Solanum lycopersicum: one gene and its partners. The protein of the gene in region 2 binds, or shares a complex with, the protein of the main gene of each other region. Links are inferred from orthologs where the notes say so. Each region holds a gene or a part of one and is shown on either strand. Other genes may lie near its edges. The genes, in order: protein PLASTID TRANSCRIPTIONALLY ACTIVE 7; hop-interacting protein THI030; thioredoxin-like fold domain-containing protein MRL7, chloroplastic; protein PLASTID TRANSCRIPTIONALLY ACTIVE 14.

Evidence for each region.
Region 1: hop-interacting protein THI030 (region 2) and protein PLASTID TRANSCRIPTIONALLY ACTIVE 7 share a complex: the UniProt entries of both Arabidopsis thaliana proteins name them as parts of the transcriptionally active chromosome (TAC) complex. The link is inferred for Solanum lycopersicum from reciprocal best matches to the Arabidopsis thaliana genes PTAC12 and PTAC7.
Region 3: hop-interacting protein THI030 (region 2) and thioredoxin-like fold domain-containing protein MRL7, chloroplastic share a complex: the UniProt entries of both Arabidopsis thaliana proteins name them as parts of the transcriptionally active chromosome (TAC) complex. The link is inferred for Solanum lycopersicum from reciprocal best matches to the Arabidopsis thaliana genes PTAC12 and MRL7.
Region 4: hop-interacting protein THI030 (region 2) and protein PLASTID TRANSCRIPTIONALLY ACTIVE 14 share a complex: the UniProt entries of both Arabidopsis thaliana proteins name them as parts of the transcriptionally active chromosome (TAC) complex. The link is inferred for Solanum lycopersicum from reciprocal best matches to the Arabidopsis thaliana genes PTAC12 and PTAC14.

What each region holds. Positions count from the first base shown.
Region 1 is NC_090802.1:49,585,577-49,591,630, forward strand, and holds the start of protein PLASTID TRANSCRIPTIONALLY ACTIVE 7, read right to left. Parts: upstream 3,830-6,054; 5' UTR 3,730-3,829; coding exon 3,676-3,729; intron 3,556-3,675; coding exon 3,502-3,555; intron 3,419-3,501; coding exon 3,344-3,418; intron 1-3,343. UniProt on the Arabidopsis thaliana protein: Essential for chloroplast development, especially for thylakoid formation. Involved in plastid gene expression, probably by maintaining plastid-encoded RNA polymerase (PEP) activity.
Region 2 is NC_090801.1:56,330,258-56,336,289, forward strand, and holds the start of hop-interacting protein THI030, read right to left. Parts: upstream 3,356-6,032; 5' UTR 3,049-3,355; coding exon 3,015-3,048; intron 2,925-3,014; coding exon 2,857-2,924; intron 2,006-2,856; coding exon 1,337-2,005; intron 1,032-1,336; coding exon 919-1,031; intron 1-918. Other genes in the region: hydroxyproline O-galactosyltransferase GALT2, read right to left, coding at 4,700-4,903, 4,998-5,105, 5,211-5,384, 5,480-5,608. UniProt on the Arabidopsis thaliana protein: Involved in plastid gene expression. Acidic transcriptional coactivator necessary for the transactivation of many PIFs target genes (class B genes), particularly during the regulation of hypocotyl growth.
Region 3 is NC_090801.1:60,372,411-60,378,429, reverse strand, and holds the start of thioredoxin-like fold domain-containing protein MRL7, chloroplastic, read right to left. Parts: upstream 3,427-6,019; 5' UTR 3,217-3,426; exon of another isoform or gene 3,123-3,216; coding exon of another isoform or gene 3,089-3,122; exon of another isoform or gene 2,572-3,088; 5' UTR 2,549-2,571; coding exon 1,803-2,548; intron 1,699-1,802; coding exon 1,614-1,698; intron 1,531-1,613; coding exon 1,419-1,530; intron 1,305-1,418; coding exon 1,201-1,304; 3' UTR 1,192-1,200; intron 1,118-1,191; exon of another isoform or gene 1,108-1,117; 3' UTR 1-1,107. UniProt on the Arabidopsis thaliana protein: Plays an essential role in early steps of chloroplast development. Involved in the regulation of plastid gene expression. May positively regulate plastid-encoded RNA polymerase (PEP) activity through binding to FSD3 and CITRX/TRXZ.
Region 4 is NC_090801.1:61,880,448-61,886,338, forward strand, and holds the start of protein PLASTID TRANSCRIPTIONALLY ACTIVE 14, read right to left. Parts: upstream 4,038-5,891; 5' UTR 3,813-4,037; coding exon 3,744-3,812; intron 3,649-3,743; coding exon 3,430-3,648; intron 2,537-3,429; coding exon 2,399-2,536; intron 1,923-2,398; coding exon 1,797-1,922; intron 1,553-1,796; coding exon 1,424-1,552; intron 883-1,423; coding exon 793-882; intron 713-792; coding exon 562-712; intron 1-561. UniProt on the Arabidopsis thaliana protein: Essential for chloroplast development, especially for thylakoid formation. Involved in plastid gene expression, probably by maintaining plastid-encoded RNA polymerase (PEP) activity.

The DNA of each region.
Region 1 (6,054 bases), on a different chromosome or scaffold from region 2:
GCAAGGCGGCAAGGAGGATGAAGAAGTTCGCCGACCGCAAGCGTCGTCCCACCAACTATGAAGAAGGTGATATGGTTTTGGTAAAGTTTAATCCGAGGCAGTTTAAGGCGCTTAGAGGCATGCATCACAACCTGGTGCGGAAATATAAGGGTCCGTTCAAAATTGTTGCCAAGGTGGGTAAGATTTCATACAGATTGGAGTTACCTCCACACTTCAAAATCCACCCGGTCTTTCATGCCAGCGTCCTTAAGCCTTATCATGAGGACAAGGACGATCCCAGCCGGAACAAATCACAACGGGCCCCTATCACCGTTACTGCCTCGCATGATCGTGAGATTGAAGCTATCATAGATTACCAAGCCAAGCGGAAACGAGGACAACAGGCCAGTGCCATGTTTCTCGTACATTGGAAGGGACAAACTCCGGAGGAAGCCACATGGGAGAAGTACGAAGACTTGTGGCAGTTCAAAGGCAAAATTCAGGAGTTCTTGCAGCAGTGCGTCGCGGTCGTCGCATCATGGGGTGGGGGAGATTGTGACGTCCCGCCATCCATTCAGGCCGAACGCCACCCAACGAGGCAGCCAGCAGGCGCAGCAGGCGCAGGGGAGCAGGCTGACCACGCAGGTCAGCAGCCAAGGAGGCCTGCAGCAGCTGAAGAGGCAGCAGTTTCAGCTGTTACAACAGTTAGTGGGGCGGCTGTTACAGAAGTTACAAGTCTTTGAGAGGCTTGTGGAGATCATGGGGCAGACTAGGAGCATCTAGGAGTCCTTTTTGGAAGACTTGGAAGCTTGTCTTGTAGGCATAGTCTTAGGAACTTGTATAGTTTATTTACTAACTCTTAGGCAGCATTAGAGTAGTATAAATAGTAGATTACTTTACTTGTAAAGCATCCAATTATTTTCAAGTAATAGAAGTTCCTTCTTCCAAAGTTCTGTCTTACTTCTTATTTTCTTAGCGATCTGAGTTTTAGGCTTACTAGAGTTTGCAAGAACGTGCAAGAGTCGTGAGTAAACCGTCTAGTGCCGCACGGAACTTAGTCCGAATCAAAAAGTCCGTGACACTAAGCTAGCTGTTAACTTTTGGAGTTAGTTTCACGGATTAGTAATAGCTCAGTGTTATTACTACAAAGCTAAGATATAAGATATGTTACTCAGGTTTTCAAACATAAGAAAAAATCTATTTCTATTTCTGCCATAACTTTCTCTGAGCTATCCCCTTTTTTCATCAACTCAAATCCTCTATTCAAGAACTATAAAGATGTTTGATTAGGCAATAAAGTCAGCTTTTCACCATCAAAGCATGCCTTCAAGGTTAAATACACTCTATTCCTAGTCAGACCATAGAAGATCACCAAATATTAGTGGATCCACAAGAGATGATTCACTATATGAAGTGAGAAACAACAAGAGATGAAGGCTAATTTGTGGAGGAAAAGAAAACATAACAAACCCTAAAGTTGTGCAATAAAGCTTGATGGACAAAAAGAACATTTTAGCAAAGGCTGAAACAACTACAAGTTTGTCTCAAGAACCCAACCTTGACAAATATGGGTAAAAAAGTTTGGGGACGTTTGGTTCACATATTGGTTAGTAAGGATTATAATGCAAGAATCCTTTATGATGTGATCAATAATGAAAGAATTGTTATGCAGTGATTATTAGTAAAGAAAAGATTGTCACAAATGAGTTACTTAGTCTAAAAGGGCAATTTATCTTTAAATAGTTTAATCTCTACATTGCTACTACATGTGCTATTATTTTACATTCTATCAAGCATAAATAATATTAAAGTCATGCATAACTTAATTCAGGTATCATTTAGTACTGCCAACCAAATGTTGCATTTTATTTATGAAGCGATAATTTTTTGTGTATATGGTTGACCATACGCTATATTATCCTATGGACCAACGCAAGATTTTTACTGAGATCAATTGTTCCTATACCATCAGCAAAAGGACCCCTTAAAAATATCATTATTCTATGAACAACCAGGAAATAACAAATAAAACTGGAATGACATAAAGAAGATTAGCATGCCTATAGGCAAGGATGACATGCACAGATCAAGAAATAACAAATAAAATCTTAAACTATGAGGAATATGCTAGCTTTCACTCTTTACTTAGGGGCCTCATACGAAAACCTAATAGCAGGTAAAAACACGAGAAAGAACCATCTACCAAGGAATGACATGTACTTAAATTCAGATTACTGCTCAAAAATGATATACAGATGGTAAAACATTTTGCCTTTGCAGCAACCACAAAACCAGAATATCGGAGCATGGACATGATCAACTATTAAAAAGAACCCAGTCAGAACTGAGCCGCATACATACAAAGCCCCTATTGAATCAGAAGCCTTAATTATGACATCTCGAGCCACAGATACTCAGGATCTAGTGTTCAGCCTAAATCATTTGGACATACAACTAGTCAGGATAACAGTACACTCTCCAAACTTGGTATTATCTACTTGCAGGGTCCACCAAACAAGATCAACACACAAATGCAATAAGTGAAATCATCATTTCCCCTACCTTCAATTTCTAGTGGGTTAGGTTTTGCATTATCATCCAGAGAGAAGTGATGTACTGACAGAAAGCTTGAACCCCTGATGTGGGAGATCTGTTAGGTTTCAATATCTATCACTTTGCCTACAGTGGTTTGTAGTTAATAAAAACATAAAATCCAAGCAAAAAGGAAAGATGGCTAGCTTGATATGGCACATAAAATGGGTAAAAGGGTCTGATTCAGATCAAATGTGGATATCATCCCTCTTCTAAAGACGATACAATCAATCTCAAGTAACAATTCTAAGAATTCAAAAACTAATTAACCAAGAAATTCATCGTTCAAATCAAGGCATCCAAAATGACTTAAAGAAATATAAGTTCAAACTTGGAAACGAAAACAACAGCAAAGATGAAGAAAAGTATTATCAGCCTACAATAATATATCAAGCATAGTCTAATATGTCTACCACAAATATAGTTTTCACTTGAGTTACACCAAATATACCCACGGTGTAAAGAATATTTAAGCAAATCTACTCACTTAAAAGCCAACTATAAACAATTGTCTATGCCCATGATTCTATAGTAAGCCTGACTTGATGTAAGTAACCTGCCAAAATCAGTGAAACTGACAACAAAAATCGATTGTGCATATAGCTTAGATCCTTTCAACTATAGCCCATACAAGGCAAGCACAATACGTACGAAACATCCTACTCTTATATCTAATTCCGGTAAATTCAATGGTGCACATCGAAAAATAAACATTAAAACAAACAGAATGAAACGAGCAGGAAAAAGCACGAATCAGAGTTCCTTAACTTACCAATTTTCTTCGCCTCCATATTCGCCTTTCTCCACGGCCTTCATTTTTAGAATTCGACGCACTCTGTACACCAAACTAAAAACAAAAGTTACAAACACTTGTGCAAAAAAAAAAATCACAGCTGAAAATAGATAGCGACGGCTACGAAGAACTGTCACCTGCGCCCGAATACACAAGTTCACGCGTTTTTTATTTTCAAGTGCTGCAATTCTCTGCATTGAAGACAAATTATCATTCTCCGGATTCACAAATTAAGAACGGAGAGTCAAACTGGAAACCGGCGAAGATCCCGGCGAATATAAAACAGGATAAAAATAGAACGAGGAGCTTACGGGGAAAGTTTGTAGTGTTGAAAAGCTACTGAAAGTCAGGGTTGATGCTGCCATTGTTTTTCGCCCTTCGATTGTGTTCTTCTCCCTCTGATAAAAGGGGATAACGCAAATGATATCCTACTGTTTCTTTTTTCAAACTTTGCAAGTTAATTTATTGGCAGTTAGACCCTGATGTTTTTAAAAATGTTCCATTATGCCTTTGTTATTCATATTTGTTTCTTGATTTTCGTAATTTTAGAGCAGTTTCGCAAATATAACATCCTACAAGCCCTCTTTTTGCAATACTTCCTCCGTCTCAGTTATTAATTACTCCCTCTGTCCCAAAATGCGACATTATTTTCTTTTTTGGTCGGTCCATAAAAAAATATCATATTTTTTTACATGGTAAGTATTTACAGATACAAATTCTTTTTTATTCTTGTTGGTTTTACTTAATTTTAAATAGTACTACTCTAAAACGTTTGAGGAAAGAGAAAAGTGAGTCTACTTCGATTTGATAAACAATTCAAAGTTTTCATTAATTTCTTAAACTCCGTGCCGGGCCAAAAATGCCACATAAAATGGAACGAAGTGAGTATTAAAAAAATACACCTTATATTAAAAATATGTTTTTTAATATGAGAAAATTATATATAATAGCAAACTAATAACCTAAAATAAACGGAGTAGCTATGGTTTAATTTAATTGTACTCCATAGCAAACGTTTGCAAAAAATTGTCAGGCGCCTCTCTCCTAAGTATCTCGCTCGCCACTCTCCTAACAATCTCTCGCTCGCTTCCTCACTTTTTATACAAACACAAATGTATAAAAATTGTTTCTAATTGTATAAAGCAGAGAAAATTGTATAAATACATATATTTTTGTTTCCCTCTCTCCCCTCTTCCAGATCTCGCTCGCCACTCTCCCAAATTTCACTCGCCACCCTCGCCTTTCTCACTTATACAAACAGAAGCGAAATGTATAAATTGCATTTCTGTTTGTATAAAGTGTGAGAAAATTGTATATACACATGCAAGTACGTGTATTTTCGTCCTATACACTTATAATTATACAATAAAAATACTCCCCTGCCCAGTTTCTTTTGCCTTTCTCTCTTTCTCGTTTTATACAATTTTCAAATTGTATATAATTTCTCTCTTTCTCTTTTTATACAATTCGATTCAATTGTATATTCCTTGTCAAGTCTCTTTTGTCTTTCTCTCTTTCTCGTTTTATACAAATTCAAATTGTTTATGATCGTTCTATACACTTATAATAATGCAATTCGTTTTATACATTTCGTTTTTATACAGTTCTCTGCCCAAGTGTCTTTCTCTTTCTTGTTTTATACACTTCGTTTTATACAATTTGCTTCAACGGTATATGTATAACGAATTATACATTTTATATGTTTGCTATGGAACACAATTATGCAAACTTTGTTATAGCATACAAATATGAATTTTTTATTTGCTATATGTGAAAGTTGCTCTTTTAATCTTGCTCGATTTTTAATAAACTACTCTCTTCGTTTCAAAAAGGATAAACTTGTTTGACTTGACACGGAGTTTAAGAAAAAAAAAATTGAATCGTGTGATCCTAAATTAAAGTGTCCTTTAATTTTATGGTCTTAAACATGTCACGTGAAAAATAGAAATTAAAATGTAACTAAAAAAAGCAAGATTTTTTTTTAAAAATAGACTAAAAAAATGAAACCATTCTTTTTGAAACGGATAAAGTAATAAATAAGGGTAATTTGGTAAATACTATTTTTTTAATAAGCACAAAAACTAAAAAGAATCAAAACAACACTTATTTTGAGAAAGAAAAAAGTATACAATTATAATCGTACTTGTAGATGAGTTTAAAAAATAAAAGTCCAATATATATGTATATAAGAGGAACCATCATCTAAAATGTATATTGTATGTGTGTTAGGAGTGTATATCAAGTATTTAGTTACTCATCATAACTATAATTTACTATAATTATCACTCGTGATTAATATTGTACATTAATTACGTGAGTTGACTTTGAATTTGTATTAGTCACATTTGTATATGTATAATTCGCCAAAAAATACAAATAGATATGTATAATATACAATTATTTAATATATATGCATATACAATTCACCTCTCTCCCACTCTCTGCCCTCTCTCGCTCGCCTCTCTCCTCCTTCTCCCAATCTTGTTCGCCTCCCTCCTCCCTCTCCCAATCTCGCTTGCCATATATACAAATGCATATGTATAATACACAATTATCTAATCGATTTACATATACATGGTTCACCTTTCTCCCACTATTTTCCCCCTCTCTCTCCCAGTCTTCCTCACCTCTCTCTTTCCTATAGCATGTAGCTACAAATTGTAATTATCAAATTATAGCTATAAAAAGTA
Region 2 (6,032 bases):
ACTTATTAGTTCTTAGTTCCAATAGAAAGTGTATTCTGGTTCATCTTGAACGGGGAAAGTAGATTGCCAAGTCATTTAGCAACTCAAAGATCTGTCAATTAGGGAACAATACAAGGGACAAGTTTCAGAAAATAAAATCAGAACGGGTCTCCAAGGCAATGACCTAATAGTTAAGGCATGGGAGTAACAACCTGAAGATCCCAAGTACAAATCCTAACCACACACTTGGTGTAATCCCCTTCATTCTAACCTTAGTGGACAAGATTACCTAGGCCACATGTGCATGTAGGCTGATAGTAGACCAGCATAGTTATGATGCAGGCAAAGTGCCCCCACACCACGGATATAAAGATAATACAGGTAAAAGATAAACATAAACAAAATAGAAGTCAAGACTTAACTTTTCATCAAAAACCAGCTCCAGAGAGCTTGCAGAACCAATAGCTTTTGAAAGCAGTAGATAAAGCAAAAGGTAAGAGAGAGGACATGGAGTTGATCATCAATCTAACTGAAGTTTGACAATTTTTTCATGTTAATGCTATTTATAATATACATTACGAATATGAAAAAAAGAAAAGACACAATATTTGTTGCTTGACTCTTTGTAATAAGTACCATAATAAGCTTCCCAAGAATGAACTAATACAACAGTGTACAAGCACATAATAAGACATTAAGGAAATGGAATTTGCTTATTTTATACTTCCTCTCAGTTTGCCTATCCTTTCTTTGCAAGGTTCCCTGTAGCCTATAGTTTATGACATGCATTCATGACAGACGAAGGGCTTATGAATAAGTTTAATACCAAACGAGTGAGGTCCATCTTTTAACATTTCAGTGCAAGGGAAAAAGGAAGAGACTAAAACTTGAAGAATAGAACATGTGATGCAACATTATTAAAAAAGTTGCTGATTCTACCTTTCCTCCTTATATAAATGTCTCCTTGCTCTATAGAGCGCAGTCTCTGTCAATGTAGGATGCTCACCATAGAGCTTTACTTGTCCTGTCTCTGCCATAGCTTTAAGAAAGACCTGTTCCAGGGAAAATAATAATAATCTCTAAGTCAGAATGTTATGATGATATAAGTTTGAATCTGCTCGAGAACCAAGGGAGGTTTAAAGTGGTTAGAAATGTATTATTAATATTCACCGCGTCTCTACTGAAGATATCATTTTATCCACTTTAGATTTGCATTTATCTATTTTACAATGTGGCATCGAGCAAGCAACTAGCATGAGCAGCATTGACATCCAATCTTGATTAGCACAATTAAATTACACTGATTACACACATAAACAATTTATTCTACTTAGCAGTATATATTTTCAGTACTGACCGTTTCAACATCAGGGCGCCGCCTCTGCCACCTAGACCATTGCTCCTTTTCAGGCTTTCTCCAATTCCACCATAATTCTTCACTAGTAAGCGGCTTCTCTATTTCCTTCTTTACCTTTGGATCAATAAATGGGTGGGGCCGTCCATGTCTTTTATCTAGCTCATAGCCTGTCAGCTCTTCTTCATCTTGTTCAGGCTGATAAATGACATACTCTGAGGAAAGATCCTTTGGCTCTTCTGGTACACTATCTGGAGTCTCCAGAGGATCATCAGAAATTACATTGATTTCTGAAGGCTGGGAAGAGGAAGCAGATGCCTTGTACTTCTTTCTTCTACTTCCAGGAGCTTTTCCATAAGATGGAGTTCCAGTTGAAATACCATCTGGTTCAGGAGCCCTGGCGGCCTGAACTCGACTAGCTGTGCCTTCTGGCCAGTACTCCTTCCCAGGAATACTAGCGCGAGCTCCAGATGCTGGTTCAAGTTGCCCAGAAGTGGAGTCCATATAACTGTGATAAGGAAAACGCTCGACAGACACCTGCTCAAAAGAGCCCTGATTCTTTTCCTTGTTCTCACACTTTATACAAGGAGCTAAAGGAGCCTTTTGAAATGGACTACTGGAGACAAATTTGAGCTTCCATATTGAAACAGGAGTAGTACCTGTAAACAAGGTCTGGGTGGTTCCCAGCACAATGCATACTCCTATTAATGAAAACTTTTAAAAATGATGAGAAACCTTGCTACAATATAGAGCACCTTCCTTTGAGCATGCATGTTGAACATATTGCCAGACTTTACTTCATAATGTTAAACAAGAGATGCTTAAACATAAGATGCAAATTCATGAATAATTTCTGCCAGAAATTTAAACCTTCTTCCTTCCCCGATTACAATATGAATTTCACCGTCACAGAGAGCAACATGTGCTGGTGTTCAATGCAGATGCATACGTATACACAGTTCAGCAAATGAAGAAGTAAACATAGGCAGGTAAACTTGGTGTACATGTGGAGGGATAAGAAAGAGAGTCAGCTATAAGATGAGCACACAGATTAATTGTATAAAGGAAATTTGATGCATATCAAAATCAGAAAACAATTTACTACCATGAAACTACAAATAACTCCTAAAATCTAACCAAACTCTCTTTGCCATTGAAGTAAAACATTTCCTTCAAACAGCTTTCCCTGATCGTCAGCTCTAACACTCTAGAATACGTTAACCATATCCTCAAGCATATATCAAACTCCCAAAAATATCCCTCTCTTGAATAGAATTGATTATATAAACCATTTTAATCTCTTCTAGACTCTTATAGCTCACCCAAACCATTGATTCCTCTCGAAGATACAAAAAGTCACATATAAACCTAAAATCAACAATTTGAACTCTTAGAGACGAACAATTTTGTAAAAGTGCTCCTTTTTACTTATTATCTAACAACACAGAGTATAAGATTCTACTTCCAGTGGTGATTAACAAACATAATAAGATTTGTTGGAGTTCATAATAATCTAAAAACACCTTCCGATAGGGGCAGCAAATAGTTGGCACAAATCCATCAGTAGAGGCTACAATTCTCAGTCCTCTATCTGCAAATAACAGAAAAAAAACCAATTTTACAAAGCGAAGAAGAATTATTTTTACAAAAATCAAAGGTGCAACAAGTAAAACACAGTTACCTTGATACAAGGAAGTTGACAATACAGAAGCCATTGCTGAAATTGGCAACTCGAAATTGCTATAAATAACTCCTCTTATCCTTTGTCCTTTGCTTGGGTTTTAGGAGGGGCTTTAGTTAGGATAATGTGACCCTGAACCGTCCTACAAATTTGGACCGGCTTTCCAGACCGGCCTAGTCACCAATTTTCGCTTTAATTTCCGCGGGTTTAAATTATTGAAAAATGAGAGAACCATTAAAACCAATCTCTAAACTTGACGTGAATTATTAGTTTTATATCTGTACTATTGACTGTCTTAAGAACACTCATTTTCTTGTCTAATTGAAGCTCAATACACCCCCGATCTTGCAAGATTAGTGAAATACACCTTTAAATTGAAAGAAGTGTTTAAAACACCCTACACTTGATGAGAACTTAAAGGGGTATTTCACTAATCTTGCAAGATTGATGGTGTATTTAACTTCAATTGATCAAGTAGAGGAACGTTTTTAAGACTGTCAATAGTTCGGAAATGAAATTAATATTTTACCCCAAATTTAGAAATGATTTTGATACTTATCTCTTCAAAACAAACCACTATTTGTACAATTTATTGCGGAGGTTCCAGATATAGTTTTTCTTTTCTATATTATTTCTTAGGAATAAAATAAGTGTAGGAATCTTATAGCTAATTCTTCAAAGAGTTAATGAGATCTTTTGGGCTGTACGTGACTTTTATACAGAAGTCGTAATTCTTTTACTTTGATTATGTATGAATAAGAGAATTTTATAAATAAAAATTAATATTAAGGATGTATCGTTTGATGCACTTTCAATTTAAGCATATTATTTACTCATTCCGCGTCCCTTCTTTCTTTGTGTACCAAAAAGATATTTCAAAATGAGATATTTTGGAATGAATAATTTTTCACATGGTTTGTATAAATAAATAAACTCTAGACTCTTTTGCTTTGTTTATGAATGAATAAGAGAATTGATATTTTAATTAAATAAACACAATTTTAAAATATGCATATGATTTTGATGCACTTTCAATCTAAGCATATTATTTTAGTTTGCTTTCTACTATCTTCTTGTTTAGTTTCATCTAAAGATTCAACTAATTCACATTCATTTTATTTATCCACCTGATGAAAATATAGTATATGTTGTTACACAAATGTTTGTGAAATTTAATCATCATAATTTATAGCATTCTAATTAAAGTCAATCAATATGAAGATGAACTCATAGTATATCATTTCAAATTAAAATACTAGTACTGGGTTAATGAAATAGTATCAAATGTAAAATTTGAAGGAGCAAGAGCAAGTAATGTTGACATTGCCAGAAGAAAAGCTTCATATATAGCGTTAAAGGACAAACATAACTGTGAAGGCCCCAACCCAAAATTATGATAGTGGGGAGGCTCAGCTCAATATCAAATCGCTGTATGTTTCTTCATGGTACAAGGCGGAGAGGCATGAATCCTATACAATGACTAGTACACAGTATATAAATCCGGATGTACAAATCCATCGCGATGGCCAATGTTCCATGTTAAATCATATGTTAAGCTAAAACAGCCATCTGAACAGATACAACAACACACACCTTCATTTCTTCGCGTAAGATCTCAAGGCAGGAAGAAGATGATGCAATTCAAATTGTGCGTCCATCAAGCAGCGAAAAATGGTCATATCACTCTAGAAGTTGCAGCAATGGGCCTTACCCTTGAGTAAATTGTTCCACAGACAGAACATCTGTCGTGGAGACTGATAATGAGCCGTGAAATAGTCTTCCATACACCCATATTGACAGAACTTCCAGTTGTGAGAGTACTGTACAGGAGTTGAACTGTTGTAACTCTCAACCCACATACCCATGCTCACATCCTCCATTTTGAAGATCTGTCAATTTGATGGGGGAATGCGTATTTCAGAGTCTACACTTTGAACAGGTTTATGATTAAGAAGAAAACGAAAGAAATAAACTGTTACAAACCCGCAAGCTTTGGTTCCGATATTGAGAAGTGATATGTTTGGCAATATCACTTGTAATTATATATCCTGGTCCATTAGCATAAGGGGGGTATACATCTTCTGGCCACTCCTGTTGCACAAGTCAATATTTTCAAATTAGCTTTAGTGTCTATAAGAAATCAACAAACAGTAGCCATGATTTTGAATAACTCTATTATCATATAAATCTCTGTACCTCAAAAGTTACTGCCCACTTTCCTGTTCGAAGTGGTCTATGCAAGAGATTAAGATTGCCCATGTAAAGAGATCGTCTAGGAGGGACACGTTGAATTTCTCTAAGGACTGCATCTATCCTAATGAAAGTATCATCGTCACATTTCATGATATATGCAGCTGTCACATTCTGAACCTGCAACAGATATTGTGGGCCATGTCGATAGAAATTAGGACACAACTGAGCAGTCTAGAGAAGTAGAGGAAGATGGAGCGAAGTGCAGAACTCACCCCATACTTGCAGATGGCAATAGTTTTAAGAACCACTAGCTCGTATCTATCGATAAAGGGGACAATCACAATGTCCCCAAAGTAATCTGCTTCCTTCTTCAATATAGCATTTAGCTCCTTTCGTGGATTCTACACAGTTAAATGTTAATACATAAGTACATCTGTTGAGGTTGAATTCCAAACTGGCTATTGGCAGAGATAATAGCGCAAGTTCGACAAACAAATAAGTTGGTGAAGGAAAACTAAAGAGCGGTGTTTGCAGAACAGCATAAAGTAGTACTGAGGACAATAGCACAACCTTTTTCCTGTTCATAAATTTTCTCCTTTACCTGAAAGCAACACTACTTTCGTTTGACCATCATTTATATATGAGATATTCAAATGAAAGCGCCTCAGAAATCCTAGGATAGAAATGGCAAGAATGCTTCCAAGTGAATAGTACGGCAAGTTAATACCTCCCAAAAGATGATAAACTATGTAATGTAACAAGCGTGCATTGTGCTCCAGGGATAGCCATGAAGATTGAAGGATCTTCCAAGTAGGCAAATACAAA
Region 3 (6,019 bases), about 4.0 Mb from region 2:
GAAGCTGTGCAGATCCTACAAGATAAAATTTAAGAAAGTAAAGAAGCTTTTTAAATCTTGCGGTCTTAAATTACACATGTGAAGAATATACGAAAATAACTTTTAACCTTGTAGCCTTAAATATGCCATCGAAATTAAACATATGTTGAAATGGACTATGAAAGAAAGTAGAAAAAACAAAACAAATTAAAATTGAGAGAGTATCATCAAATATCTGTCACCTCCCACCACAATATCGTCAGACTTCACCCACCAAGAATTAAGTAGATAAACAAGATCACCGCATATTTAAGAGGTCAATTAGGTGAAAGTTTGTTAGTTGAGTCTATTCAGAGTTCAGGTTTTGTTAAACTGTATTATCTACAAATGGTCCTAGTTAGGTTTGATGTTGAGTGATTTAACATATGTTTAATCAGGGCATATTCCTGATAATGTGGTATCCAAAACTTTTCAAAGGAAAGCACTTTAGTGTCTGAATATAACCTAAAACAGATAAAAGCACACACAGTTAACCCATCCAATGGACATACAGTGTCTTGTTTATCTGATCTTAACTTTAATTTCTTATCTTAAGATGGAATAAAGCAAGGTATATACATTATCCATTCATATCTATCTAGGTTAGTATTAATGGAAAAAAGTTCCGTACCTAGCGTGACATACGTCTCCCCCGAAAACAATAACTCTAATTTAGTTATAGCCAGCAAGGTCAAGATACAAGTAACAGAAGATGCATGAACTTTTCTAATTAAATACAGAAAGTAATTTATAGACATCTAGGGCTAGTATGATATGTAAACAAGCAAATAGAACTAAAGTAAGATCATGCAACTGAGTGTTCTCTTTCCAACTATCCTCTTCTATATAGTAATAAATGTGGCACTAATTTAAGCACATTATAGGATATAACCTTTTTCTTCAACCTTCCACTTGCTAATTACATCAGCACCTGCAAGCATCAAGCGAGCAGTACCATGATCTCGTTTCAACCAGTCATTCTTCTAAGGTTCTGCCCTCAATTGGTCAATTGTTTTCCAGTGACAAAACGACCACAATTGGTTCCAGTTATACAGGGATAGATCCATGCTCCACTGCCTCTTTCTTAATCTGCGACGTGCTAGAAGTTCAAATATTTTTAGTGACATTAATCTATGAGCTTCAATGAAAGCCTAGACAAGTCAGCATCAGTACCTCCGTTGACTAAGACTGTTGAGATAAAGCTGCATCATCAATGCATGAAGGTTTTTTCGCATTGTAGTAAAAATATGCTATCATTTGAACCAAGTCATCAGCTGTACGAATTTCTGCACAAATTTATCCGGAGTTGCAAAGTAAACAATCATTCAACATAACAATGAATTTAGCTGAAAAGATTACAATTACTTTATCAAACTAGTGAGGGGATATATAAAGAGTACCTTTTTCCCTGTATAGTATCCTGTTTCCTCGTAAGAACAATATCTGTGGACTTTCTTTGACTTTAAGCGCATAGGCTAGATCCCTCTCAATATTAATGTCAATCTTCACAGTCTACACCAAGTAATTAGGGGAAATGTAAGATAAGAGGGTTTACTAATGCACAATGTAAGGAGAAGTGATTATGTTTCACAAACCCGAGGAGGCAAGCGCTCTTTGGCACTCCAATACACCTTGGCTGCTTTCTCCAGCTCCTTAAGAGCTTTCCAGTTGTCACTAGCCCTGTGCAATTAGCAATTGTCTCAGAGAACATAAAAGACTTGCATATTGCTTATAGAATATATCCTTTAGGACTTCAATTTGTAAACAAAACAAGATCCACTTGCCGATTGTATCTCTCAAAAACAAGTACAATGAGGGGACTGGGATGAAAAGCGAAGCTCTCCCACTCAAGACAATTGATTTCCTTCACCCAGCAATCATCAATCTCCCCCTCCCAATCGATCTCAACTCCATCTTCTCCTATAACATTTTTTATTGGATGCTTGTCAAAATACTCTGATGCTCTAATTCCCCATCCAACGTCTGCATCCAGAGGCCAATTTGGATCCTCCTCCTCAATGATCATTTTCTTTTCTTTCTTATCCCTACTGCTGTCATCTTCATCATCACTACTTTCATCAGACTCAGTGTCATCATCAACCCTATCTTTGAGGATATTCTCGGTATCTTTCATCATATCAGAGTTCTGCTCTCGGATAGAGGCAAATGTCTTTTCTAATGAATCACGAACAAAATCCTCAACTGCAGCTGCTTCGCTCCTGCGACCACGCCTTGGCTTTTTAGGGATTGTTGATGGGAAGATCTTGGCAGAATCTTTGTCTTCGTTATGAGTTACTTTACTTTCCCGGGACCTTATAGCTTTTCTAGACCTTGAACCAGAGTTATTCTTAGGATCAGACACATGTTCCTCTTCAGACTTTTTTGAAGTGGCAAAGCAAGTCAAACGTTTCAAAGGAGGCGGCAATAGGAAGTTAGAAAAAGAGCAAGAACTACAATGTTGCCCTGCTTTGAGTGCAGAGAGTGATGAAATAGCACAAAAGTTAAGATTTAATGCAGAATGGATGACCATCTTCCCTCGCTTAACTACTTCGCCTGGAAAATCAAAATCTCTATTAGGGATAACTCCTAATATAAAAAACCTGTCGATAACACCAATCAAAATTAAGAACAGATTTTATCAAACTCCTTTCTACAAAACACAAAATAGAAAACATCCACTCCATATTCTTATGTACATAACTAAAAGACAAACAGAAAAAGACTAGCATAACATTCAAAATGTAGTTAAACAAAGTCAACTGTAGAAGCCATAACATTGATGTTGAATTGTTGAGCACAGTACTACTAGCCCACTTTTACAAAAATGTATTGAACTAAGTCAGCATTGTCACCCACCGACACTAAATAGTAGTATAGATGGTGGTACTCCACATGGACTGGCTTAACATCCTAAGTCTGCTTCTGGCTACAGTTAAAAGGTTACCTATTTTGAAGCATAGAGGATAAAAGTCTAATGAGCAAATAATCAAACAGGTTGTGTGCATAAGTTACCAGACTGTCGATACAGTACAAGTGCAACCAACAGTGCATTAATTATGTTTATAACTTGATGATTACAACAATGGCAAACAGCAGAGCTAAAGGTTAGTGAATCATAGAATCAAAGTTTATAGCAATAATAAATAATCCGTTCGCAAGTACTTTGTTACCTTTCTTAAAAATACAACAAAGGACTACCTGAGAATGAAGAAGCTAAATCTCAAGTTCCGTTTGTCCAGTCCCTACTTGTTCTAATCCTATAAGAAATATTTCAACTTTATTTTGAAGGATGGGAGGGCAGAGCAAATGAATAAAAACAACAGCCAATATTTATTTTAAGTTGAAACTTCATAAAAAATATTAAATATTTTTAATGACATGAGGCGAAAATATTTCTAAACTTTATCCAAATGAATACCATAACCCAATATTGTCTCGTAAAACACCTACCTTTGCTCCAAACTTAGGTTTATTTTTTATTTTACTTGAGAGGGGAAAAAATTGTTTAGGGTGATTTCTAGCCTAGCTTTTATTGGTCTTTGGCCTAGAATATTTTTGGGATATTTAATGAAAGTTGAGTAATTAGTTTTATTATATAGCTAAGTTGGTATTTTGACAATTATATTTTAAAGGGAAAAGGGTCAAATATACCCCTAAACTATTAGAAAAGGTTTAGATATACCCTCCATTTAAAGTTTGGTTCACTGATACCTCTTTTGGTCCAAATATGTTCTTAAGTTTGGCCGCTAGGCTAATGGAGAGGGTTGAAAATTCTGGGGTGATAAAAATATCGTAGGTGATTTTTTTTATTTGTCCTTTGTTGGATAAAGCTATTAACGCAATACCTATATTTGGTAGAAAATAACGTCTCTGTGAAATTTAATTGAATTATAGTATGCAAACTAACTTGATAAGAAGAAAAGTTTAACATTGACAAATGAAGTGAAACATTACATATGAATATGATGAATCAGGAATAGTAGTACAGTATCACTTAAGGTGGACAGTATTATTTTGTTATTGATGAGCTTTATGTAACAATTGTTGAGCCACAAGTAACAAGTCAGGACTCAATCTAAACATCAAAATACAAAATTCAATCTTATCAAGAGCTCCATCACCATTCATATCTCCTTCTCTAATCATGTTCTTCAATTCTTCATCACTAAAATCTTGCAATCCCATCAGCTTAGAGTTCCTCTTTAAGCTATCAATTGTGATCACGCCTTTCTCACCATCCATTAACATCCGATAACCTTTGCATAGCTCGTTGATCAGTCCCTCTCCGCATAGCTTTATCGCCATAATTGGCAGAAAATCTTGAAACTCTATATGTACCATCTTTGTTTTACCTGTAGTTCAACTTCTATCACAAATATTGCTTGTTAATGACATAAATTAAAGTGTGATTCATAAGGAAGTTTTCTATGTCCCGTTTTCTAGACTAGTCAGACGAGCTTACGGACTTGTCTATTATTTTCTTAGAACTTGCCTTGCTTGTTGGAAATTTTGTTTTTGGACCAAGTCAGCCTTTTCATTCGTCAAAATGCCTTACAATGGATTTTCAAGGAAACTAATGATGCTCGGTTGGTGCTAAGGAATTCATCTTTCAATTTTATTTTATTTTCACTCAATTATGATAGCAAAGGTGAACCGTCACTTTGTTTATTAAATTCTTGTACTATTATTTTTTCTTCTCCGAAGATGATAAAAATCCTTTATGTTTGAAATTTGAATAGAATATGTGGTCAAACCACGGCTTTGCCCTTTTATGTTTGTATTAACAATATAATTATGATTAGTTTGTTAGTTATGTTAGTTAGAGTGTTAGTTGGATGTCACATCAAGTTAGTTAGATTTTTGAAAGTTAGTTAGTCACACATTTTGTATTTCATATCTTTTGTATTTGTTGGATATGTGATTACAATTCTCTTGTATATAAATGAGAATCAATACATGAAGATAGTAGTTTTGCATCTTCTACAATTCAACACATACGATGCCTCCTCCTCCTCCTTCTTCTTCTTCTTCTTCTTCCTAAATCGATTATTATGGTTCCTTTCTGTTTTGGTGTAAATCACCATTATTGATCAGTTTAATATGGTATCAGAGCAAGGCTGTTCTTGCTACTTTTGATTTGAATTTGTTGTTGATTCTTCTTGTTTAATTGTTTTTCCTGTGATCCAGTCGATCCTTCATCATGACAAGACCTGAAAGTGCTCCTTCAGCACAAGGAACCTCTGTTAATGATGATGCACACAACACTCTCTACATACACCCTTCGGATAGCCCTGGTATGGTGTTGGTACCAACTCAATTCGATGGAACAGGATATAGATCCTGGAGAAGGGGAGTTATGCGAGCTTTGTCAGTAAAGAACAAGTTTGGATTCATTGATGGTAGTTGTGTTAAACCAACTGCAAGCTCAAATCAGTTGCATCAATGGCAGAGATGCGATGACATGGTGACTTCCTGGATTTTAAACTCTCTTACTAAGGAAATTGCAGATAGTGTAGAGTATGTTAGTGATTCAGTGGAACTTTGGAAGGAACTTGAAGATAGATATGACCAAACAAATGGAGCAAAGCTGTATCAAATTCAAAAAGAGATTAATGATCTCACACAGGGAAATTTGGATATAACAGTCTACTACAACAGGATGAAAAAGCTTTGGGAAGAATTGAGCACTTTGAATGTAAAAAATCAGTGCTCTTGTGCTTGTAGTTGTGGAGCCAAAGATGGATTATACAAAGCAGAACAAGACAGACGCTTGATACAAATCTTAATGGGGATGAATGAGGTGTATACTGTGATAAGAGGCAACATTCTTATGATGAATCCTCTTCCAACAATGGCACAAGCCTTTTCCTAGATGATTCAAGAGGAGAAACAAAGGGAGTTTAAACCTGCTAATCAAACCCCTATGGAATCGATTTCCTTGAATGTGAACTCTTCTAACAATAGTGGAAAGGGATCAACAAGAAGAAACTACAAAACATCA
Region 4 (5,891 bases), about 5.6 Mb from region 2:
TTGACTACTTGATACACTCTGTCTAACATCAGATATGAATAATTACAATTCTTAGAATAAACAGTATATATTAGACTAAAGAAAACCCTCTATGAACCATATATTTCTTACCAAAATGTGATGAAAGTAGTATTAAATATCATTAGGGTGGACAAATATTTTCCACCTGTAACAGTAACTGCGTCGAGTTTCATAATGCAGACTGCAGAGGGAGAAAGCACAGCTATTTTTAAAAAATGGAAAAAATTGAATACACAATATTCTCATTGGGGGCATGGTTTCAGTAAACTGAACACTGAACATATTTTTCAGTGACTAACTTGTTACTGCAGTCATGGATCTGCTCTTTTGGATCCACTTAACATCTTAAAGTACACATGAGCATCACTTCAAGACCAATCTAAACAATAATTAAATAAAGGATGCCATTCAGACTATCTTAAAATATCTCAGCCAAGTTCAATCTGTTAAAAGTAGGGTGCTGCATTGTGTGAATAAACTAATTAAAGCTCCCGATTTCACTATTGAAATTTTGGACAGAAATACAATAAAGAAGCTCACCAGCATAAGGTACCAACATATTTGCTTCTTGAACCAGTGAACCAATTCTTGTTTGCATGCTGATGCATCGAGATTGTGCTATACTCATTGCCCAAATAAATCTCTCAGGATCCTGAGCAAGACGCTTAATTTTGAGAGGTACTGCAGAATGCTAAACAAATAAAGAAAGTCAAAGGCCAATGTTAGTGAGCAGGAATCTGGGGGAAAGAGATTTAACAAGATTGTCTGTACCCAGTTTTTCTCCCAAAACTCAAGTGCTCGATTTTGCTGTTCTCTCATGGTAGAAGCAAGCTTCTCGTCTTGCAACTCCAAAAGATCCTCCTACACCACAGAAAGCATTAAGAAGAGCATCAGGAACACAAAACAATTATTTATTTACTCTAGCACTGAAATTCTAGAAATTAATCCACCATGAATATGCCAAATGCAGCCATTCCATTTTTCAGTTTGCAACTAATCTTTCTAATCAAAACCAGCCCAGCTGACTAATGAAAATGCAAAGCACAGAAATGAAGAAGCTTCAACCACATATTAATTTTCAGATTGAAAACCAAAATGGTAACTCCAAAATAGACTTAAATACACAGAAGAGAGCTTCAACAGTCATGGAAAAAAACAAGATTCAGTCGAAGAAACTTTTGTTATAAATTAGAACCCACTAATAGCAAAGGTCACATAACAGTGTGAATATCACAAAAGCTTTTCTAATTCACATTTCGAGTTACTCAAACTTGAACCTCAGCAGAACACCATAACAAAGTGCAGAATAATTTTGTGAATGCATAGCATTTTCTATAGAATCTTCCACAAAATATTACATTAATTGAATGCACTGAAATTTGGATGATACTCATATCCAGACCTCGGTAGCTAGAAGAAAGCTAGTGCATTCATCAGCACTAGGCAAGAAGTCTCCGTATAGCTGCCAAAAGTTGTCCTTGCAATCAAAAGCATATAAAAGAAGGCACGCCAACCTCAAGTCCGAATCTGTCTGCCATAAGAAGGTAATCAATATTAAAAAGTCACAAGAAATCTTAGAAAACCAAAAAGAAAATGAAAAAATTTAGAGCATAAAAACAAATCCTCTCATGTGTACCATTAGGGAAAAGGTAAGACGTCTAATTTTTATTTTTATCCAATCAAAGAAAATGTGGATAAATATTCTCCCATGTGTTCCATTAAATAATATTTAGTAGGAAAATTAAAATATTTAAAAGGAAAATGCATCCTTTTACCTCGGGATTGGTTGAATTGATAATGTCGAATACTGGATGTCCTACAGGTATAATATCTGGAAAAAACATCCAAGGAAGCTTTTTGCTTATGGTTAACATAAGTTCTAAAGGAATTTCCATTATTACCTGCATTACAAACAAAACCTCATGATTCACTGAATTTTAGTGATAACGAAAAGGTGTGAAGATAATCAGTGCGAAAAGAGCAATCAAACAGCCAAGCTAATGCCAAATGAATTAGACAGTCAAAACTATGTAGGACATGATAAAATACACCACAGCAGGAGAAGAATTAGTAGTGCCTAGCCACTGCAAATATAACTTATCAAGGTTAAAAAGCAAATGAGGGAAATCAACTAAAGATACTTATCTCAGAGAGAAGGAAGGTAGTTTAAAGGTATTACAATTCTCCCATGTCCTTTTTTCCTACCCCCACCAATTTCATGGTGGAATTGATGGGATGAAGTCCAGCTTTTGGTATAGTAAAACATTGATGGAGCAGTAAATTTGACACTGCTTCCGATGGTAATTGATATAGTTAAACATTTCATCAGGAGGAGGAAAACATTGTACATACAAACATGTTGTAAGGTAGTGCTCACCCTAGCTCGACGGAGAGGTTCCACGTCTTTGGAAGCAAACACTCCATACCCATCTGGTCCCTCCCTGAATTCAATCCCGTAGGCTCGAAAACTTCTAACATATCCTATTTTGTAGAAATCAGGATCTGCCAGTTCCAACTGTTCATATGAAAATGTTATACCACCATCATCAACAATTAGAACAGGAGAAAATAAGGATAATTTGAAATAATCAAATAGGAAAATATATGTTCATCAGCTTCTCAAAGGATGTAAGACCGAGAAAGTAGAGGGATTCCAACCATTAGTTTGACTATGTAACAATAGAAATGGGATATCTATGCATGAGAACGTGAGAACGAACATGAGCATCTAAGTGAAAATCTTAAGGTAATTGGGGAGTAGCTCAAAATCATCATAACCCTTTGGATGCCCCTAAACACCAGATGTTAGGCATTCTATATATCTGAAACCAATGCAGACTCACACGTGTGAGAACGGACTTACTAATTGGTTAGAAATTCCGACATATTAAAGAAAAATTTATGCAGTGAAGGAGTAGTAGAGAATGCTTTAGGTATATGATTCCCCTATACCTGATGTAGAACATTTTGTATTTCTAACACAGTAATCACCAAAAATTTATATGGGACCTGACCTAGAACCAAATAATTTGTGAAGAAAATCTGAATGAGGAACAAAACCAATTCATAAGAACAATTCCATCGATCTTCAAAGTGTAACTCCTATCTTTTCCAAACATCAACTGCCTGGCTGTCACTTCCTTCAATTTATTGAGAGACTAGTGCTTATTGTTGTCCATTGTTTGTTTGGCATTCTATTAAAGTAAAAGAAACCATGACTGAAGAGGAAAAGGTATGCAGTGCCAAAACTCTAACTACAAAAAAGAGTACATAAAAGTGTTGCATATTGCACTTATACAGTGAGCTTACCAAAAGAAAACAGCACTTATCACACAGAAAGTAACAAGATGTGATTAAACTAAACTTGAACTTCAAGAACATGAAACAGAAGGGGCAAGTAGAAAATACCTGAGAAGCGGGAGTATCTTGGGGTTGAGAAGGGGGTGTAAAAAGAGGAAATGCAGAAGGAGACGGAGAAGAATCATAGGCCTCCAAAGTGGAAGAAGTAACAGCACCATTAGCACTTGAAGAAACTCTCAAAGGTCTGTTTCTCTTGTTACTATTACATACCAAAATAGGTTGTTTCTGCAATGATGCAACACATCCATGCTGCAGACCTCTCCATAGCTGGTTCAATTATTAAAAAATCAAACACCCATAAAATCAAAAAGCAAAAAGATTCATTCTTGAATGATTTGGTTTTGTGGGGGCGAAGGCCTAACCTGATGGTGAAGCTCTGGCTGGTGGAAGAAGTTCGTCGGTTGCTGAATTAGAATGGTGGAAGAAACCATTCTTGAGAGTGAGCTAAAAATTTAGTGGAATTTCAGTAAAGAAGATTCATACATCGATGGAATTTGGGTTCTTGAAACGTTATCCACTCTACTGTCAGTGAGAGAGTGCCCAGGGGTTTTTCCTGGGTTTAAATTTTTTGATTTTTTTTCCCTATTTTATTCCACAATTCTGCTACTTAATTTATTAATTTATTTTTATATATATTCTTTTATCTTTATGGAAACGGTGTGATAAAGAAATTTAGCAAAATAAATATTTAAAAATGTGTCTGACTTTGTTTTCACTGTGTAAAAATTATCAATGTTGGCGGTAAGAGGGATCAATGACGTCGAAATAATTATAATAAAATCATAATTTTAAATCAAACATTACTTTATATTATATCATTTTTATTATTAGGCTTGAATTTACAAATAAAACTTTACTTAAATCTAGTTAAGTATTGTTCGAATCAAGTAATTATAAATCATCTGAAAAAATCAAAGGATTGATGCAACTAATTTGGGACCAAAACTTAGTTGATCGACAAATATATGAATGTTGGACAACATGCAGAGGACCATTATCTGAATTTTGACCATTTGCACCTGTCATATGATACTATCATATACAAAATTATAACCATATGACATGAGATTAGCAACTAGAAAGCCACGTAAGGTACCAGGAAAAACATTTGGATGTTTTGTTATACATAGAAAAGACCTTCAACCTGTCAACTAATTTAATCGAAAGGCCAACAACAGCACCATGTACTGGATACAATCTTAGTCAACATTACAATAAAGTAACTCTCATCTCCAGCTATGCATATGACTGAGTTAGGATGTTCATGTCCCAAGACTGATTAATAATGTGTGATAGCATTGTTGGCAGCACTTCCTGAACCCCAAAGAGAAACAAGATATCACAAACTTCAAGTGATTGACACTATGGAGATCTCGTCTTGAGATGCTTATTGCTCTCTTCTTACTGAGCATGATTAGGTCGTCGTATGCACCTTGACTATTCCGCTAGGTACCTGCATCCTTTCAGTACTGTTGGTATCGGATAACTCTACCACCAGGGTTTAGGCAGAAGGAAGAGATCACCCAAATGTGTTGCCTCTATTTAAGATTTGAACCTTAGTCTCCCATGGAGTTTACTCCAACTTCATCAACTAGGCCACATCCCCCAAAGACAATATCTGTACAAAAGGAAGAGAAAAAAAGTCAAAAGGAATTAGAGGTCCTATAACAACAGATGCACCAGTGCTTTCAGAACTAAATTGACTCATAAATCACGTAGCTTCAGACAAACAAGTAGCCCTCCTACCACATTTTACGCAAAATCTACCACAAGCAAAAGGAAATTCAAGTAAGCAACAAATACAAGTGCATTAACAACATTTCAAAGTTCTTAAAACTACAACAGAATTAACATAAGCTAAGTGATGTCCATTGAGTCGCAGCTCCATGATCAAGAAACTGATAAAATATCGATCTTGTCCATGCAAAATAGAAAAAAGAAAAAGGTCAGAAACCAGCTTTAACACACATCAAAGAGGTACCAGTGACAACTTCGACATAGATAGGTCCCATGTGTCTAGATGACAAAAACAACCACTGACGTCTCAATTCAGTGTGAAATGAAGGAGCTAAAGACACAAGGAACTTAAGCCTGCATCAGAAATGCACATCTCTCCAAACATTGAATTACATCGAGTGAAGCTAGTTATCCAAAAAAAAAATTGTACAACTAATTCAACTTAAAACCAGAGAATGTCCAGTCCATCTTTTGCTTAATGTGCAAACTTTTAAGAACACAAATATGCACAGAAACTAAGAGAAGGCTATATAAAAAACACAAGTCTTATCAAATTCCAAGCTTTGTGTACAACGAGCAAGGATTCATAATAAGCATACTCTTCTACTGGTTCCTATACATATTTTCAAACCACCTATGCATACTTCTGTATTAACCCCCATCTCTAAGTGTTGCCCCTTATCCACAAGATTCAAAATCTTGTTCCATTATCTTGATCTTCGGATTAGATAAGTTACTACTACTCAAACATTTAGAGAAAATATATGAAGACT